2 linked regions of the Tamandua tetradactyla genome follow. The protein of the gene in region 2 purifies or fractionates together with the protein of the main gene of each other region. This does not show direct contact. Links are inferred from orthologs where the notes say so. Each region holds a gene or a part of one and is shown on either strand. Other genes may lie near its edges.

Region 1 (10,055 bases), on a different chromosome or scaffold from region 2:
TCACGATAGTACTTCATTCCAAAGCAAACTTTTGAATAAGAAAAATCAGAAGGAGAATCTTTAAAAAGCTAATTTAGAGGGCAATGGTGGCTCAGTGGTAGAGTTCTCACCAGCCATGCCAGAGACCCAGGTTCAATTCCTGGTGCCTGCTCATGCAGAAAAATAAAGGCTAATTGTAGAGACAAAATCTGGTGTCAAACACCTGACAGGAACTTTCTGAATACCTAACAACTTTCAAACATGTTCCACGCTGTCCAAGACAATTTATTAATTTGATCAACACAGCACTGTGTCAACTAACATGCTCAACAGATTATCTAGGTGACCTTTTAATGTACCTGAACTACAATGATTTAGTAAACATCTCTTTCCTAAAGGTATCTTCATACTTACAATACCTCTTTAACAAAAAGCCTTTAGCTTTATAAGACCATTTCTTCTCACCAGTATAATTTTTGATCCAAAAACATGAATGAATGTTCATGCATGGAATAAATAACAAGATAAATTTGGGAAATGGAGAAAGCCAGAAAGATAACAAGGACTGCCAAAAAATTGTTCATACTCAACTTCCACATCTCTCACAAAGTTCAGAATAAAAATGTGTTCGTGTGTGTGTGTTTAGGGGGGGAGGTGCTCAGCAGAAAAGGAGACTAGAAAACAAGTTTTTCATACATAACAAAGATAAATTTGGGATTCATTTTTGAAAGAGTTTTTAAATAAACACGTTAAAAACTTTAAAACATGAAATTCTGATTGAAGCATTTTAATCTCGTTAATCAGGATTTAACTGATTCAAAAACTATAAGAAATATTCTATAGAAAAATGGTAAAGTGATTTAAAGCATTTATTCACAACAAATTAAAGTGATCTAATTCAGTGTTCTAAACAATCTCCTAATTATGATGCACCCTTTAATTCACTGGATTTGGTGCTAAAACCAAGCGGAATTACGCCAAAAGCCTTGTGACACTGGATAGTATTTCCCATAAAACTCATTAGGTGACTATCTTCTGCAGTACCAATATCTTTTCCTTCCTTAATTTGAGGACTACATAAAATGCACACTTTTTTCTCTCCCAGTTCCTTCTCCTAAACAACATCTAGATTGACTGCCAGAGGTTTCTCCAATAAAGGACAGTTTACACGATGTATACAAGAAAATATGCTGTTGAGCAAAGCACTTCCCTGGCTTTCAAGGTTTGAGTTACTTAGCACATATTTATACTTCTTGGATGAGAAAAAACAGAGTTACAAAGCAAAGCTGATGGACAAGAATTCCTTCAAACAAAACTTATTCCACACAGTCTATTCAAGTTGTATTCAACTGTTAGATGGAAAAGGACAAAGCCTAGCATTTAATGATTCAGTTGTGTAATGCTCCAATAAAATATGAAACCTGCATAGTACATAATCATTAAAACTGCCTTTATATCCTCTTGTATTAATATTATTAATGTTTTCTTTCTCTCATTCATAAGTGCTCATTAATATATCAATATGGCCTAAATGAAATGTAACTACAATACTTAAGGGATGATTTGCTGGGCTTAATAAGAATATTTCTCTTTAGGTATTTTCTCAAGTAACATGTTAAAAAAAGCTCTCTCAATGTTCATGACCACAATCTCTCCTTTTCTTAAGTAGAAGGATGCTACACATAATTACAATGACCAAAGCTTCATATGAAGTGCTCTTTAGATATAACATCTGTTTAAAAAAAAACAAAACGGCAGTTGATGGTGGAGGCAAGGAGGGTTTATTCTTTCACATGTAATCATTTAAGTAAATAAAGTTCTTCCTAATGAACAGTTCTGAGTCATGATGCCGGTATTGCTGTTCTTTAAATTATGTCTGGAAACGGAAAGCTGCTCTTCTACGTGAAAAGATGTACTCTACCCAACACCACATTACATGCTAAAGATGGGGGTCCTCCCATATCAACTAAATGAACAAATGTCACATCTTACACCAAGTTTAGTGATCAATAAATCTAACCTAGTTAGAACTTCACTTCATTCATTCTCATTCCATCAATAAAACTCAACATTGACCTACTGTAAACTACTGTACTGAGAAAAAGAAACCAAAACAAGTTCACAGTCAAGAGTCTGAAAAGGCCATCAGCACACTGTTTCATCTATTATTCAATTTCCAGTATCATAAAATAGTTTCAAAAAGGAGAAAGAACTTAAAGATTCCAGCCAGTGGTTTGTTTGTACTCATATGGTAGCAACCTACTATCTGTCAATATTCTCCTAACATAGTCATGTAAAGTACAGCAATTACTACTTTAAAAAAGAAAAACCAGTTCTTTTGATCTTTAATCAACTGCTAAATTTTAAGAGTAGTATGATGAACTAAGAGTTCAACTATCTAATTACTGCATTACTAATTCCGTAATTTATACACAATACAAAACCTGTCACATAAGAACCTATCAAGTTCCAAAATCAATTACAACATTAAAGAGTGGGTGGATTAAATTCGCAAAAATAACTCCAAAATAAGGGTAAGGGGCGGGATAAAGGGAGGACATCAATTTGCCATTATTCCCCAAAAGCAAAATTAGAGAAGTATCTTTATTGCTGCTTTAACAAATAACAAGCCTTGCATATGCTCTCTTTCAACCTTCTTTCGATGGAAAAAAAAGTTACAGCACAAGGCAAGAACCAAACTCTGGATACCCGCCCCTCCACCCATTCTCATTAAAAAAAAAGAGTAAATAATCAAACTTTCACGTTTTTGGATGAGCCTGTTACAAATGACCTAATTACACAGAAATCAAATTAAATAAACCAGTTAATCTCCAAGTAGGGATGCTGTAACCCTTGGCTATCAATTAAAGTTGCATGGAAAGTATTAGAACGAACAGAGACATAATGGCGGTTAGTCTTCTGCCAGACACCTTACTACTACTATTTATCTTCAACCAGCAAATACCTGGAGCCCATGTGGCTCTTACCTTCTTTCGTTTGCGCGTTGGTGATCTGCAGGTCGCAGTCGGCAGCTTTCAGCTTCTCTCTCCCCATAATCTGCTTCTTTAAATCGCAGAGGGAGATGTGGAGCCCATCAAAGGTGACGGTATCATAGTTGAGTTTAGAGGAAAATTTATAATGCACACAGGACATGGTGCCAAAGGATTCCTAAGGTTCAGCGAGGAGACGTGGACACTCTCACTATATGTATATTTATAAACTTAAGAGCAAAAATGTACACACACAAAACACTCAAAAGACACGGAAGGACCCTAAGGTCTTGGATTAAATAACCCCCAACCACAAGCAGGGGTTCGTAAAACAATAATCCAGAACCCCCCCCTGTTACTCAGAATCACTTCATGTGGGAGGAGGGAGACGAGGACCTGGAAAAGGGGAAATCGAGAATCCGCCAACGGGCACAATGTCACCCGGCTGGGTCCCCCTCGCTCATGCTAAGGGCCGGCAGGAGACGGGGGTAGGCGGTGCAGTCAGTAGCGGTCAGTCCACACGTTAAAGTCCGAGTGACCCCCGCGGGGTCAGGGGTCCATGGCGTGGCCGCACCTCCCGGTTGGTCTCTTTCCGTGGAATGGGGTGACCCAGGCCCCGGGAGAAGGTTGAGGGGAGAGGGCCTAGGCCCGGAGTCCACGAGCGGCCTTTCGCCTCCTCCTGGCTTCCGGACGACTGGCGTCGACTTCCCCAGGCCCAGGCCCCCAGCCCCCACACAAACCCCTTTCTCCTGCTGCCGGCAGACCACAGGCGGCCCCGCGGTCTAGGCCAAAAAAAGCGCGGTCGGCGGAGGAGAGGCCTTTCTGCAGGCCGCCCCCGGCTCCACCTCCCCCCCGCCGCCGTGCGCCGCCGCCGCCGCCGCCGCCTTAGACACAAAGCCGGTACTAGGCCTCAACTGGGCCTGGAAGCACTTCCTCACCACCCCCGGCCCCAGCCCAGTAGCCGGGTGGCTCTGGCGGACCCCGGGGACGCCGCCGAGTCTCCCTGACGCTTCCTCTCGCCGTGTGCTCCGAGCTTCTCTCGCCTTTCGCTTCCGTCGCCTTTAGGCCCAGAACCGCCAGAATATGGCCGGAAACCGCCGGGCAACGGCAAGGGGCTTTGCTGGCTCCCTTTTTTTCTTTTTTTTTTTTTGCCCCCCTGCCGCTCTCCGGCCCTCACCAAGCGTCGGCGACACCTCCAAGCCAGGCACTATGGCGGACGCGGCCTGGCTTCGGGCGAGCGCCCGACTCCGGGGTCTCTTAGGCAAGGATTGCACGGGCGGCGCGCGCGAGGTGGGGCTGGCGTGAGCGGATAGGCGGGCCGAGAGGCGGAGCCGTCGACGTCACAAAGCGCACCGGCCCTCCCACGTGACTCCGGCGCTTTGTGACTCAGGAGCGCGGAACCTGAACTAGACCGAGGAACGGAAGAAACCATCCGCCTCTAAAGGGAGGGGAGAGGCTTTAGAGGGAAAAAGGACCGGGTCATAGGGTGGTTCTAGGGGGAGAGTTCAGATTTCAGCTTCTGCTGTGCTAATGTCCACTGAACAGTGGGGTGCCAAGGGGTGGCCGGCTAACTGTCCCTTCCCCACAGTTCCGATCAACTCTCCCAAACTCCCCAATTTAAGTAAACATATGGTTACTATGCAGTAAGCTATGGTTGCTATGTAAACACTCCCTACCTCCCACTTCCAACAAACTGGCTACCCCAAGCCCTTCCGAAATAGAAATTCTGATCCCAGCCGCAGCCTAGAACTGATAACATCCAGAAGAACGAAGATTTATTGAGCTCTAAGTATGAGCTAGGCACTGGGATAAGCACTTTATAATATTCCCAGGTTCTGGAGTCAAATTCTCTGAGTTGGAACCATAGAGCTCCGACTCTAGATTTAACCCCTCTGTGTCTCAGTTTCCCTAACCATAAAATGCTGATAAAAATAGTACTTGGTTTCTTGGATTGTTATGGTTTAAACGAATGAATAGATTTACATTGTTTGGAACCAAGCCTGGCATGTGGTTCAATACGCGTCAAAAATGACTCAATGAATGTCAATTTTGCAACAATAACAAAAACCCTAAGTGGTCAGGACTACCATTATTTCCAGTTTATTGATGAGGAAACTAAAGCTAGCAATGATGCACTTTCTGAATTCGCAGAAAGCAATGCCAGCTGTGTGACAGGGTCTCAATCCCATTTCGAATTACAAAGGGCAGGAACTATTCCAAAAGAACATCCACCACCACCCCAATGAGTTGGAATCTCTTTTCTTGGGGCATGGGGCGGTCATACTGCATTCATAAAATTCATAATATAAACTATATTCATAATCCACAATAATAACTATCGTTTACAACGCATTTCCTCTATCCTCTCTGAATTTTACAGGCCAGTCGGGCTCAGAAAAGTTAGTCACTGCTGTACAAGATCACACAGTCAGGAAGTGGCAGAGTTGCCAGAGACTTCCTGAATACACACTAAATTCTTACTGAACTCGATTTAAACCAATCATCATCTTGTCAGTAAAGCCTTCCTGGCCACGTTTTTCATCTAGGTAACCCTGCCAGCATTCGCCAGCTCTTTACCCGTATTTTCTTCCCTGCTTAACATTCATCACTAACTAACATAGTATACATTTATTTTTTAATTGTTTCCCGGTCCCAGTTGAGAGCAAGAATTTCTCTTTTGATTATGCTGTGTCCCCAGCTCCAAGAACAGTGCTTGGATATAGCAGACGCCCAATAAAGATTTGTTAAATAACTAAATACATTTTTATGTGATCTATAGAAATACCATGGCAATAAGATTTTTACAACAAGGGTAAGATTTTTACAAGCGTAGCCCCAGAGATGCAAATATGATTTAGCTGAACCATACACATCAGTGTTTTTCATATACAGCAAGTTTCCACTCATTTTCTTTGGTAACTCACAAAAATTTTTTCACCCACAGTTCAGAATGATTGGTTTCCTTGAAAAATCTCGATGAGAGTGTAAGAGGATTAATAACATCTAAAGAAAGAAAAAACACAAGAATAAATTATATTGATATTCACACCTCCGAAGTGGTGAATCTGTATTAGTCTTTGACTAATCCCCTTTTACCTAATTTTTTTCTTTATTAGAGAGGTTGTGGGTTTTACAGAACACTCATGCACAAAATACCGGATTACCATATATCACCCTATTACTGGGTGGGCCATGATGGCTCAGCAGGCAGAGTTCTGGCCGGAGACCCGGGTTCAATTCCCAGTACCTGACCATGTTTAAAAAAAAAAAAAATCGCTTTCCTATATATCACCCTATTATCAACATCTTGCATTGAGTGGAACATTTGTTACAATTGGTACCATATTTTTATAATCCTACTATTAACTATCGTCCATGGTTTAATTAGAGTTCACAGTGTAGTTCCAAGGAGTTTTTTCTTTCTTTTTTTTTTTTCATGGGCAGGCACCGGGAATCGAACCTGGGTCCTCAGGCATGGCAGTCAAGCATTCTTACCTGCTGAGCCACCGTGGCCCGCCCGGAGTTTTTTCTTTTTAATATTATTCTGATTCCATTTATACAATCTAAAATTTCCCCTTTAAATCACATTCAGATGTATATTTCAGTGCTGTTAATTGCATTAACAGGTTGTGCTACCGTCACGATGATTAACATTTCCATCATTCCAGACAGAAATCCTGCTCTTTTTAAGCCTTAACTTCCTATTCTCTATCCCCATCCCATCCCATGATAATCTATACTCTAGATTTTGACTCTATATGAATATAGAATATGTGAGTTTGCTTATTCAAATTATTTTAAATCAGTGAGATCATACAATACTTGTCCCTTTGTGTCTGGCTTACTTAACTCAACATGATGTCTTCAAGGTTCTTCCATGTTGTTGCTTAGTCCTTCTTTGGCTGAATGATATTCCATTGTAGGTATATACCACATTTTATTTATCCATTCGGTGGCCGATGGACATTTCAGTCACTTCCATCCTTTGGAAATTTGAATTTGAATAATGCTGCTATGACCCAGTGTGCAAATATTTATTCAAATCCCTGCTTTCAACGTTTTGGGGTATATACCTAGAAGTGGAAGTGTCGGGTCATGTGGTAATTCTGTACTTAGTTTGCTGTGGAATCACCAAAATGTCTTCCACAGTGGCTGCGCCATTTTACATTCCCACCAGCAATGAATGAGTGTCCAGATTTCTTTGCATCCTCTCCAACACTTGTTATTTCTCATTTTGTTAATAGCAGTAATTCTAATGGGTGTGAAATGGCATCTCATTGTGCTTTTGATTTGGATCTTCCTGAAAGCTAATGATGTTGGGTATCTTTTCATGTGCTTTCTAACCCTTGAAACATCTACTTTGGAGAGATGTCTGTTCAAGTCTTTTGTCCATTTTTAAATTGGATTGTTTACCTTTTGTTGTTAAGTTGGAGGATTTCATTATACGTACTGTATAGTAATCCTTTATCAGAGATGGGATTCCAGGTATTTTCTCCCATTTTGTAGGTTGTCATTTTACTTTCATGATAAAATCCTTTGAGGATCAAAAGTTTTTAATTTTCATGAGACCCCACATATCTATTTCTTTTGTTACTTATGCTTTGGGTATCAAGTCCAAGAAACTATTGCTTAAAACAAGGTCCTGAAGGTGCTTGCCTATTATTTATCCTAAAAATTTGAGAGTTTATGTCTTATAATAAGGTCTTTGTTCCATTTTGAGTTAATTTTGTATAGGGTATGCGGTAGGGGGGGTCCTTCTTCTTCTTTTTTTTTTGCAAATAGAGATCCAGTTTTCCCAACACCATCTGTTGAAGAAACTATTCTTTCCCAATAGAGTGGTCTTTGCTGCCATGTCAAAAATTAGATGGCCATAAATGTGAGGATTGATTCCTGAGTTGTCAATTCTGTTCCATTGGTCTGTATGTCTGTCCTCGTGCTAGTTCCACAATGTTTTGCTTACTGTGTGTGCTGGTTTGAAAGGATGTGTGTACCCTAGAAAAGCCATGTTTTAATCAAAACCCCATTTCATAGAAGCAGAATAATCCCTATTCAATACTGTATGTAATTAGATCATCTCCCTGGAGATATAACCTAATCAAAAGTGGTTGTTAAACTGGATTAGGGGAGATGTGTCTCCACCCATTTGGGTGGGTCTTGATTGGTTTACTGGAGTCCTATAAAAGAGGAAATATTTTTGGAGCATGAGAGATTCAGAGAGAGCAGAGAATGCTGCAGCAGCATGAAGCAAAGAGTCCACAAGTCAGCAACCTCTGGAGATGAAGAAGGAAAACGCCTCCCAGGGAGCGTCATGAAACCGGAAATCAGGAGAGAAAGCTAACAGATGACGCGGTGTTCACCACGTGCCCTTCCAGCTGAGAGAGAAGCCCTGATTGTGTTCACGGTGTGCCTTCTCACTTGAGAGAGAAACCCCGAACTTCATTGGCCTTCTTGAACCAAGGTATCTTTCCCTGGATGCCTTTGATTGGACATTTCTGTAGACTTGTTTTAATTGGGACATTTTCTTGGCCTTAGAACTGTAAACTAGCAACTTATTAAATTACCCCTTTTAAAAGCCATTCTATTTCTGGTATATTGCATTCCAGCAGCTAGCAAACTAGAACACTGTGGCTTTGTAATAAGTTTTAGATCAGGAAATGTAAGTCTTCCAACTTCATTCTACGTCTTCAAAGTGGCTTTAGCTATTCAAGGCCCTTACCCTTCCATATAAATTTTGATTGACTTTTCCATTTCTGCAATTGTTAGAATTTGATTGGAAATTCATTGGATCTATACATTGCTTTGGATAGAACTGACATCTTAATGATATTTAGTCATCTAATCCATGAACATAGAATGTCCTTCCATTTATTTAGTTCTTATTTGATTTCTTTTAGCAATGTTTTTGTAGTTTTCTGTGTACAAGTCATTTACATCCTTGGGTAGATTTATTCCTAGTTATTTGATTCTTTTAGTTGCTATTGTAAATGGAATTATTACCTTGATTTCCTTCTCATCTTGCTCATTACTAGTGTATAGATATACTGCTGATTTTTGTGTGTTCATCTTGTACCCTTCCACTTTGCTGAATTGTCTATTAGCTTTAAAAGCTTTGTTGTGGAATTTTCAGTATTTGCTATACATAGGATCATGCCATCTACAAATAAGGAAAGTTTTACATCTACCTTTCCAATTTGGATGCATTTTATTTTTCTTTCTTACCTAATTCCTCTGGTTAGAACTTCCAGTACAATGTTGAATAATAGTGGTGATAATGTGCATGCTTGTCTTGCTCGGGATCTTAGATGAAAAGCTTTTGATCTTTCACCTTTGGGTATGATGTTAGCTGTGGATTTTTCATATATGCCCTTTATCATGTTAAGGAAGTTTTTCTATTCCTATTTTTGTTAAGTGTTGAGGTCAAGAGAGGATGCTGGATTTTGACAAATGAATTCTCTGTGTCAACAGAAGTTATCATGTGTTTTTTCCCTTTGTTTTGTTAATGTGCTGTTTTACATTAATTGATTTTCTTATGTTGCACACCTGGGATAAAGCCCATTTGATCATGGTGTATAATTTTATTTTTTTAAAAATTTTTATTGATAAAATAACATACAAGCACATATATTCTTAACATACAAACATTGCATACATGGTATACAATCAATGGCTCACAGTATCATCACATAGTTGTATATTTATCAACATGATCATTTTTTAGAACATTTGTATCACTCTAGAAAAAATAAAAAGAAAAACCTCATATATTCCTTATCCCTTACCCCTCTCTCTCATTGATCACTAGTATTTCCACCTACCCAATATATATATTTTTTAATTTTAACATTTGTTCCCTCTATTATTTATTAATTTTTAATTCATATGTTTTACTCATCTAGTGTCCATACCATAGCTAAAAGGAGCATCAGACACAAGGTTTTTCACAATCACACAGTCCCGTTGAGAAAGCTATATCATTATACAGTCATCTTCAAGAACCATGGCTACTGGAACACAGCTCTACATTTTCAGGAAGTTCCCTCCAACCTCTCCATTACACCTTAACTAAAAAGGTGACATCTATTTAAT
Region 2 (10,747 bases):
GACGGGGAATCAAGACCTCTACTTGGCTTGGCCCTGCACAACTCCTCCCCAAATTCCAGAGCTTCACTCTCCAGACTGCTGCCCTTGGCTGACCCTCTAAGGAGACCAACGGGCAGTGAAACCCACACAGCACACCCAGAAGACCCACCTCCCTTCAACAGGCCACAGGGTCAGGACCCAACACTTCCCACACCCCAGCAGAGCCATGGTCCAGTGCTCTCCTTGCAGCGTCATCCACACGACTGCAAGGGACAGCTCCGGAAGTCTTACAGTCCTTTCGAAATTCAAGAAAATGTGCATTATGGAATGGGGCAACAAAATTGAAGGCCCACATTTGGCCATTTTTCTGCAGTCACCTCAAGCAGTGTGCAGCAGAAACCTGACCAGCCCGTCCTGGTCCCCAGGTGTGGACTTTCTCCTTTTACTGAGTGCACTTTCCTAAAGCATGGCTTCCGGCTGCCTTCAGCAGAACCACTCAAATGCAGACCTGTTCCACATGCACCTCCAACAGACATTCAAGAGTGCTCTACACACCCCAGTGATGCCGAGAGCCACTGCGCAAATCTAGTACCTGCTACGGAAAGAAGCCTGGCAGAAAAATTTACAAAGTGTGAGTAGTTCAAAGTCATAGTGCCATTTCAGAAGATTTAATTTCTCTTTTTCCTCATCTAGACTGAATTATAAAGTGAGTATCTTCTGGTTTTCCCACTGCAATGTCCTAAAATGTGGATTACATAAGGTGGGGTGGGAGCATGTGTGCACACCACCATCAAACAGTCTAGAAGCAAACGCTGACCCGTCACCAAGCACTGGGCAGTGAGCTGCTTACATGTTTGTTTATAATGATAGGAACCGAAAAAGGTCCAAACAGTCACTCGATTCTTCTTCCTGAGGCTTATGACAACTTCTATTTAAAATAATCCATGCCATAGTCATGCTGCTTGGTGTCTCAGAGATATCCGGAAAAAATTTATCTGTCCCAAGATGACCGCAAGTTTACAGGTGAGACAAGCCATCCGGTCTGCAGCTGCAGTTGTGCATGTGTACGCATGCAGGAATACTTTTAAAAAGGCACAGTATCAGGAGTGGATTTTATCTAGACTTAACTTTCTTCTTTGCTGTTAATGGAATTAAAACTGAACATAAATCAGGACAAGTAACTTAAAACCTGTTACTCCACGGAAACGAAATGGTTAGCAAGAATACTAGTTTACACACCAGCCAATCTAAAACAGATCTTAAAATGATTCACTTTTCAGTTTTCCAACTACACTCTCCAGTTAGCATCCAGAGGTGGAACTATTTGAAGGAATTACTCAAAGGTTGATCCTAAAATAAGGTTCTTTATTGAAAATGAGAAATGGGCAGAAATCCTGCCCCCACTCCATTTCCCAGGAGCCTGAGGCAGACCGATGAGGATGGAGGAGGCCATGCTACGGCTGCCATGTTTCTAAGTGTTGGAGACCAACAGTCAAGGCTAGTGGCACACTAAGTGACCTTTCCCCCTGCTATTCTTACTTTCTAATTTTAACAAAGTAAACAAAAGAGTTTCCTTTGCACCTAACATCCTAAGCCTATGTTTAACATACAGTTTCTATTACGTTGTATATAAAAACAGCTACATAAAAGCACAGAGTTGTTCATCTCCCTAGTACTATCATCTGCTTGGTACCCAGGAAGCAGTCAGCCAAAGCTCAACCGGTTCCAGAGTCTTTTATAATCCCACTTGAAACGTGACAAATTTTGATTCTCATTATTATAGTCTAAGGGCAAACCTGGAAACAAAGTTACCTCTTAAAACACTTGTTATGGAAAATTTAATGTCTTCTCAAACAAGTTTAAAATAAACAATCGATAAGTCTGCAGAGGGCACCTGCTCAGCTCCGCCACAGCTTTGCAGCATGCTATCCTTTCCAGAGGGATGCAGAGCACAAACTGCTCCAAGCAGGCGACTTCCTGTCCAGGGGCCAGGGCAAGGCAGACTTGCACTTCGGTTTTGGTCATGATTAAGTTCGACCAAATATCTTTGTATATTCTGACAGACTTGAAATTAATTCCTAGAGTAAGAAATAAAAGAAAACAAGTGCCTACCTTCAAGTACCTGAACCAATGCAGTGGACAAGTAAACAATGGGACGTTTACCTTTTAAAGTATTGTTTTCTTATAGGGCACATGGGTCAGAAGAAACAGCCTCCCAGCTTTTCCACTTCCTAGCATCAGGATCTGGGGGAAAGTGCATGAACTCGCCAGACCAGGTAGTCATGGCCATCTGGCAATGGATCTACCTGGTCTTTCTGCCAATGGATCTACCTGTGTGTCAGAAGCGACCTGAGCCATACCACGTGGCACAGAAAGAAGGCACTTCCTTGGAATCAGGCGGTTTGACTCCCAGGCCCTCTCTGGACTTCCGTGTCTTCATCTGCTTTAGAGATTAATTCAGTTTGGCAAATATGCGAGTGCATTCGCCACATTGGGGTGCCTGGAAGGTGAGGATGCTTGGGAGGTAAATACATGGCCTACCAAGTGCAGCAAATGAAACACGATCCTCTGGACAAGTCTTAACTGACCCCCACGTTCACAATTTTTGCTCAATTTAGTCTTTTTACAACAATCACCCCATCCTTATGGATTTGTGGCAAGGTTTAGAGCTAATTATTTAATCTTCTGGTCCACAGGACTATGAACTTGCCTTCCATTACAGGGTCTCTTGCCTTATGACATATGGTGCTTGATATTTATCAGTAAATGACCAAACTATTACTTAAGAAACTACCTGTTGCATACAAGCAAGAAATTTAAATGACTAATTTGAAAAAGAATGATACCAGAACTCAGGCACAGTCTCCTTTTCCAGCTGTCACTCTAGTAGACCATGCTCTGAACCCAATGGCACTGTTGAAGCACAGAATGTGTTAGGAACTTCTCTTTTAGAAGAATCTTCAGAATCTGCAGAACATACTCTGGTCTTTCTTCAGTGGCAGCAAATCTTCCTCCTCTCAAAGCGGACTACTTTGAGAAACAGTCAGAAGTCATTCAGGGCCTGGTCTGGAGAGTGAGGTAAGTCATTGAGCCAGGTAAGATAATTTTGGTCAAACATATGTGTTTGAATGATAAACTGGATGAAATGGTTTTTCTCACATGGCTTATATATTTACTAACAAAACAGGAGTTCTAAAGAGGTTTTGGCAAAGGAGCATCAGTGACATAACCTTTGGGACACTACTTTTAACAGAATGGTTTCTATTTGAGTGCCTGAGTTCTGGTATGTCTGGTTAAAATTCCAATTTATAACTTGATAGACTTTTAATATCTAAAGGAAATCTGCCCCTACAGTGGTGACAGATACCATCCTCTGAATTTATTAAGCTGACCATCAAAGGCACAACAAGGAAATACCCATCTCGAGACAGTGTGTAACTGTGATAAAGTAAAAAAGCTCTTTAACTAGGAGCAAGGTCACAGCTTACCTGTATGCTCTCTGAAGTAACTCCATAAAGCTTTCTTAGAACATCTGAGCCATTCCCTCTAAAACTGGAGAAGGGCTCCAACCTTTGGGACACATTTGAGTGGTTGCAGAGGCTGGAGTCTACTCATATGCACAGACCGTAACACTATCAGGCAAACACTACCCACCCAGAGCTCGGAACGCCACAGGCAAAATGACAGAAAAGAGTCTCCAAGGAGAAAGGATGAGAGCCATCCTTAAGCCCCAAATAGTACCTCAGATGTCAAATGCCCTCTTATTCCTTTCCCCCCAAACGGATCAGAAGACTGACTTACTTTTACAAATGAGTTTTTGTAAAACAAAGCTCATTTACAATGATCAACCACTCTGCCCAGGCAAACTCAGCTGCCTTAAATAATCAGTAACAACTTTGGTTTCAGCAGGCGAAAGACTGCATTAGTCTTGAAGTCTTGGGTTTTCCCAGTATCATAACCGCAATTAGTTTACACCAGTCGCCCAGCACCCTTTGGGCTCCGAATCAAAGGCACAAGGAAGTTGTTACATGTTCCTAAAGGACCGGAGAGCGTCTCACCTGTGCTCACTCTGAAGGCGAAGGACCAAGCTCCAGGCGGTTCAAAGAGCTCACAGTCCCGGGAGCGCCCACCAGCACCCCGGGCTGGCCTACTCCGGAGGGCGAGCCCGCGCGCCTCTCAAACCCGCTTCGTGGGCGGCAAACGTGCCCGGCGAACGGCCCGGAAGAGAAATGACAGCTTCAGGAACGTAACCCCTCGGCGGGGCGCGGACGCAGCTCGCGCGGAGCTCCGACTCGGGGGGCGTTCCGGGGCCCTCGCGGGGCCGCGCTCGCGGCGGACAGAGGCGGGATCGTGCCAGGCTCCGCGACCCCCCTGCCGGGGCACCCGAGGGCCACGCTTCGTCCGCGGCTGCCCACGGCCGCAGGGCACAGCCGGAAACGCTCTACGGCGGCGGCCGCGCGGAAGGTCCCGGCCTCAGCTCCCGCCGTCGCCACGTTCTCCGCCCGGCCGCCGACGAGGCGGCCTCCTCCTTCCCACCGCCGCCGCCCGCCCGGCCCTCGCTTACCTCAGCGCGAGCGCGGAGACGGGGGCCACGGCTCCGCTAGAGTCGCGGCGGCGCGGAGACGACGTCCCACAGTCCTTCCGCTCCTCACAGGCTCCGGCTTCGGGCGCGACGCGGGCGGAACAAACGGGCTCCACTACCCGCGGGGGCCGGCCATTGTGCGACGTCATCAGGCCGCGACGGCCGACCTGCGGGCAGGCGGGCTTCCTCCGCTCGCCCCTCCCTCCCGCCTTCCTTCCGGCCTCCGCGCGGCGCCAGAGCCGTCGACGCGCCCCGCCCCGCCGGGGGCGGGCTTCTGCGCCGCGCGTGCGCGCGGCCGTCCTTCGTGCGCCTGCGCGGAGGGGCGGGTGGGAGCGCGCCTGCGCAGGGGGGCTGGCCCCCCGCTCTCCCCCGTGAGGCCGGAAACGTGCGTGGGGGTGAACTGCAGAGCCGAGCGCGGGTGACCCTGTTTGCACGGAGAACTCGCTGCTTTCGCAGCCCTCAGGGTCGCGAGTGTCATCAGCGCCCATGAGGGTCCCCGGTACCGCGGCGAGGCCCGGGGCGCCCCCTCTGCGCCTTGGGGCGTTGGGTGTGGGTGTCCTCCCGCCCCGGGGGGGCGCCGCGCCGCGGGGGGGACCTCGGAAGCGGCCCGCGGATGAAGGGAGCCGATGAGCGAGCGCAAGGATGGCGCTGCCCAGAGCAGCAAGCCAGGGACGCGGGAGCCAGAGCCATGGCTGCCAGGGCTGGGGGCGCGGATGGGCACAGGGTTTCTTTTCGCGGGGGGGGTTAAAATGTTCCCGAAATACCATCAGTGGTGAAGGCTGCCCAACTTCGTGAACATACTGAAACCACTGGCTGTGGACGGACGGCAGGAAGGAGAGGGTGTGCAGGTAGGAGCTGCCAGGAGGTGTGGGAGGGGAGAGAGAAGGGGCTGGGAGAGGTTGGGCAGAAGGGTTTGGGGAGGGGAAGAGAGGGAGAGGAGCCCCCGGTCAGTTCTGCCTCCTGAACTCTGGAGTCTTGCATTATCCCCCTTTTCACTGCTCTCCCTGCCCTGGTATGGTTCATGCTGTCCTCTCCACTTGCCAAGATTAATGCCACAGCTTCCCCTCCCTGCCCCCCAATTCCTGCAACTGAAAGCAGCCAGAGAACCCCTTTCTAAATTTCAGGCTGGTTCCCACCACCCCACTCCAGCACCCTCCAGAGCACCCCTGCCGCAGAGATGCAACCCCAGTTCCTCGGCCTGACCCTTCAGACTCTGTCATCTGGCCCTGCCAGTCCCAGTCCTCCCAGCCTCATATTTCCTTCTCCCCCTTGGCTTTGCCCCAGGTCTGCACACCTGCCATTCCTGCTGCTTGGACCACTGTCCCCGCCTTTCTCCTTCACCTGGCTATCTTTAACTCTTCTCCAGGTCTCACCTGGGATGGACCTCCCAGAAGCCCTCCTGCCACCCCCAAAAGAGGCTGAGCCTGGTGCCACCTGGGTGAGTCTCCAGCACCAGTGTGTGCCCGTTGGGGCAGCAGCCAGGACAAATCGTATTGTCCTGCTCCTCGTCTGTCCTCCCAGCCAGTCTGTGAACTACTCGAGGGCGGCACTGCGGCATTTACCCCATGGCTCCTGGGCAGGCACCGAGCTGCCGATGAGAATGTTTGCCAAGTCTGGAAACCATGTGCAGAGGAGTTTGGAGATCCTGAGAAGACTTCAGAGGTGGGCTCAGGGCTCCGGCCTCTCCAGATCTAAGTCCCACGGGCTGCACTGCTGAGCTCCAGTCAGAGGACCTGGGGACCAGGGCTGGCGCCCCCCCTCAGAACCTCTTGCCAGCACCAGCTGCTGAAGCTGTTTCCTCTGTAAAATGGGACTGTCCACAGCTGCAAAGCAGGTGACAGGCATGGAGGTTCGCCGACAGCAGGAGGGGTTGTGGTGACATCGGCGAACAGTGGTGGGGCTGTTCATTCAAGGGGCCCTGTGCCCAGTGCTCCCCACTCTCTTCTTGTTTCGCGTGGGGACATGGAAGCTGTCGAATACCTTGTCACTCTGGATGTCACCCCAGGTGGCCAGGGCCCCATGCCTGAGCCTCCAGCACCGAGCCGGGCTGTCTCCCACCTGCTTCTCTGTTGTGGAAGAGAGGCGTGGACATCTGATTCCTTTCAGCCCTCGTCATCTGGGGGCCCCGTTACCAGCACCGAGCCAACTACCTGACCAGCAGGCAGGGTGTCCTCAAGTTCTCTGTGCCACCAGGCCTGGTGTCTGCCATGCAGGTACCTTCCAGGCACCAAGGCTGTTCATTACCATATAAAATAGCTGCATTACTCAGCTGGGAGAGAGTTTTACCTGACTGAATTTAACAAAAAGGTGTGCTAAGCCCCACGGGGCTACAGCTTCAGAAAATAAGCAGGCCTGTTGAAAAACGGTGAAGATGCACTCCCCTTGAGCAGCAGTCCCACTCGGATGGGTGCCCCAGCTTTAGAGTGGGGCCCCTGATCCGGGAGCAGCCTCCCCTGGGGATCTGTTACAAATGCACTTTCTCAGGCCCCACCCTGGCCTGCTGAGTCAGGAAATCTGGGGGTGGGGTCCAGCTGCTTTGGCTTTAACAGGTTTCCAGGAGATGCTGGCGCCTCCCTTCCCCCATGGGTGACAGCCCCTGCCCGTGGGCATCGGGAGACTCAAATCAGGGTTCTCAGAAGATGTTTTAGTAGTCATTGAAAGAACAAAGAAAACGTAAAGCAAATAACCCAAATGTCTGTCAATGAGTGAATGAGTAACTATCTTTTTTTTTTTTTTTTTTTTTTTAACATGGGCAGGCACCGGGAATCGAACCTGGGTCCTCGGGCATAGCAGGCAAGCATTCTTGCCTGCTGAGCCACCATGGCCCACCCAGTAACTATCTTTTAATGTAAGAATTCTAAGTACGTATGTTAACACAGATGAAGCTTAGAGATATTGCTGTGCCAAAAAAGCAAGTGACAGAAAAAACAGACATTTATAGAAAAGTTAAAATGTCAAGTATCTGTCGTGAGGGCACCAGGAGTGTAAATGGGACCTGGCACTGCCAGTGGGAGTGCAAGTTGGTGCAAACACTTTGGAAAACCACATGGTATTTACTAAAGCTAAGCCCTGTGCAGCCCCCAACCCACGATTCTAGTTTGGGGAGATTCCCAGGACAGATGAGCTCATGTGTCCTGCAGAAGGCATGCTTGGGGCAGCACCGTCTGTTATACTCCAAAGTTTAAGAACCCAGAGTGCATCAAAAGCCTGGATAAAGAGCTGTGATGGAGAACACGATGGAATACCGTAGAGCAAGGGAAAGGAACACATGGTCTCTGCACAGTACTTGGCTGACTCTCAGAGGCATTATATTGAGCAAAAGAAGCCAGACACACGCTTGTGTGCTCACACTCACCACAGTTCATTTCTACAAGGTCATCCGTGACAACAGTGGCCGTAGCAGTGGCTGCCTTCGGGAGGGACGGGAATGAAATCTGTGTGATGACCAGACGAACTTTTATAAAATCTATCAGCGCACATTTATATTTATACACCTTACAAGATGTAAGTTAGACCTCAGTGAAAAAAAAGAAAAAGGAAAAACTAAACACTTTTGTTTAGCTGTACACACAGATTGTAAAACTAAAAAACACAAGACCCAGGCAGACACCGAAATCCAGGACAGGTTATTCTAGGGTGGGAAGGAGGACGGCATCCGGGGGTGCAGGGGAAGCATTCACATGTTTCCAGGCGTTGGAATGAAAGCTGGGGTTCATTTTATTATTCAGTACATCTTATTTTTGCGTGTTCTAAAATATTTAACAGAAAGTTATTTTAATTTAAAAGTACTTTTATTTGGTGGATGGAAGCCTGGGAAAATTCAGGTGTGTGAGAGAGCTAAATCTTCCTCTTGGGATCTGGGATAGAAAGTGAACCGATGTTCTTTAACCTGGTTTTTAGGCGGTGGAAGCTTTCTCCTTGAAGCGGTGGTGGGGGACACGTGACATTGTGCATTTGTCAGAACCCCACAGACCCGTGCAGCGCGTGCAGGAGCCCGGGGACTGCGGGCTGTCAGGAGACTTGTGCTGTCAGCTCAGCGTGTGTAACGAGCATGCCACCCCAGTGTAAGGTGGAATGACAGGAGAAGCACTTCGTGCTCTCTGCCACCCTCCCAACTGCTGTAAAAAAGACAGTTTATTAATCTTAAAAAGTCATGAAGTAGCAGGATGAATATGTTACTGGAGATGCGAAAGATGTCAGAAGAGACAAAAGAGCTGAAAATGATTGTCTCTTAGGACTGGGAAATGGGGGTGAAGAGGGGCACAACCATTTTAAAAAAAATATTATTGAGTTATAGTTTACATTTGCTGAGATGCATACCTTTTACCTGTACAGCTTGATGAGTTTTCACACACACACACACAAAATATATATATATATATTATGTGTGTGTGTGTGTGTGCGCCCTGCAGTTGCCACTGCAGTCAGGATATATGACGTTTCCGTGGCTTGGAAAGCTCCCCCGTGCCCCTGGCACTTGCCTCCTGCCCCCCAGACCCCGTTTGTCTTTCCAGGAGCATCGAGTGAATGTGGGCTTTGTGTCTGGCTTCTCTCACTCAGCACAAGGCTTTTGAAACGTGTCCCTGTTGTGTGTATCAATAGTTTGGGAAACTAAGGTTTGGTTATAAGACTTAGATTTTTGGACTACATACTTAAAGAGAAAGAAAAGAAAAGACAGGCAGCTCCCAGTGCGAGAGCCTGCTGTGGGTCTCTTAGCAAGACTGACCCCCCATCGGCCCACCCCCACCTCGGCTGAGAACCGGGCCTCGGATTTGGCCCCTGCCTTCCAGGGAACCGGCTGTGTGGTGTGTGTGGCCACCCATCTCCTCGGGCCCCAGCCTCCTCGTCTCTACAATGGGGTAGTGCCGGGACCCACCTCACAGGCTTAGCGAGGGACCCTTGTGACCTCGTGCCAGCGGAGGTGAGCTCCTCGTGACTGCTGCCCCTTCTCAAACCCACCCCCACCCTGCCCTGCTTGCACTGCAGGTGGGTGACGTCCTGACGGGCTGGGCATGGCGGCCGGTGTGTGGGGGGGTGTTGGTGGCATGTCGGAGAATGGGCAGAAGGAAGAGCAGGGACACGGCACCGCTCTCCTCTCGGCCCCAGGGGGTTGCTGTGGCTCCAGCTCTCGCTGAAACCCTCTGCCTTGTGTTCTCATCCCCGGAGACTCTCCCAGTTCCAATTCCTGACTGCTGGGGTCTGCTAAAGCTACCCTTGTCCCTCTAGCTCTGGGAAGGCCCTTCCCATGGCCGCTAAGGCTCACACAACCGGGAAGGGAGGAGGTGGGACCGTGCTGCATCCTTGAAACCAGAGGGTGGCTATCCCAGGGCCTAAAACCACACAGTACTTTGGGGGCCTCCCCTGCCCCCCAGCGTTTGACACGTGCACACCGCACGCAGGGCATATGGGATGGAAGGCCGTCGGGGAGGTGGCCTTCCAGGTGCCCCCATCGCGTGCTCCCCGCGCCGCCTGCCCTCGCCCACCCTGGGGGGCTAACCCTGGACAGGAGGCAGGGAGCAGCCACCGGAGCCTGTGAAAAGTCCATGGTGGCCAGCAGTTTAGGGGAGGAAACCAGATTTCCAAGTTCCACCAACCGGTGGGGTTTCGTTTCTTTCCCCTCCAGGATCGCCCAGCTGGGCCGTGCGCTGTGCAGGGCAGAGGTCTGCCGACCCCGAGGGCAGCTCGCAGGGGTGGGGGCTGGGTGCAGCTGTGACCCTGACCCGAGGACGTGTGCCCCACGGGGGATCTGGCCGCTCCCACCTCCTCTCTGGGCCCTGTCCCTCCACCCTGATGCAGGCGGCGCTGGCTGGCGAGCGCACCCAGGTTTGGGGGGGCCGCAGCGGGGCCTGTGCTGCCTGGAGGAACACGTCTCCATGTGACCACGGTGGCAGGAGCAGAGCGCGGGAAACAGCACGTGGCTGAGGGCCTGGTAGGCAGGCGTCACGGCAGCCGGTGTGGGGCAGGACACGCGTGGCCCCCAGTCCCCTAGCCCCCCGCGCCCAGCAGCCCACAGTGCACCCAGTCAAGACAGAATACATCCCGCCCACAAGACAAAGCTTCAGAGGTGACGGGGTGACTGCTGCCTCCCAGGTGTGCAGTCTGCAGCGCCCAGGTGGGGACCGCGAATCCCAGTGCTGAACTGGGGTGCGAACCGGCCACGGTCTGCGATCGTGCCTTGACTGAAGG

What was found. Proteins that work in one complex are often made in the same cells at the same time.
Region 1: the proteins of ZC3H18 (region 2) and RBBP6 purify together in Homo sapiens (affinity purification with mass spectrometry; 3 studies listed by BioGRID and IntAct, counting the BioPlex papers as one, with this or other methods). This does not show direct contact. The link is inferred for Tamandua tetradactyla from reciprocal best matches to the Homo sapiens genes ZC3H18 and RBBP6.

The regions. Positions count from the first base shown.
Region 1 is NC_135349.1:32,519,050-32,529,104, forward strand, and holds the start of RBBP6 (E3 ubiquitin-protein ligase RBBP6), read right to left. Parts: upstream 4,265-10,055; 5' UTR 3,133-4,264; coding exon 2,967-3,132; intron 1-2,966. UniProt on the Homo sapiens protein: E3 ubiquitin-protein ligase which promotes ubiquitination of YBX1, leading to its degradation by the proteasome.
Region 2 is NC_135342.1:82,905,249-82,915,995, reverse strand, and holds the start of ZC3H18 (zinc finger CCCH domain-containing protein 18), read right to left. Parts: upstream 4,743-10,747; 5' UTR 4,544-4,742; intron 4,165-4,543; 5' UTR 4,038-4,164; intron 3,046-4,037; exon of another isoform or gene 2,826-3,045; intron 2,783-2,825; exon of another isoform or gene 830-2,782; intron 793-829; exon of another isoform or gene 149-792; intron 1-148.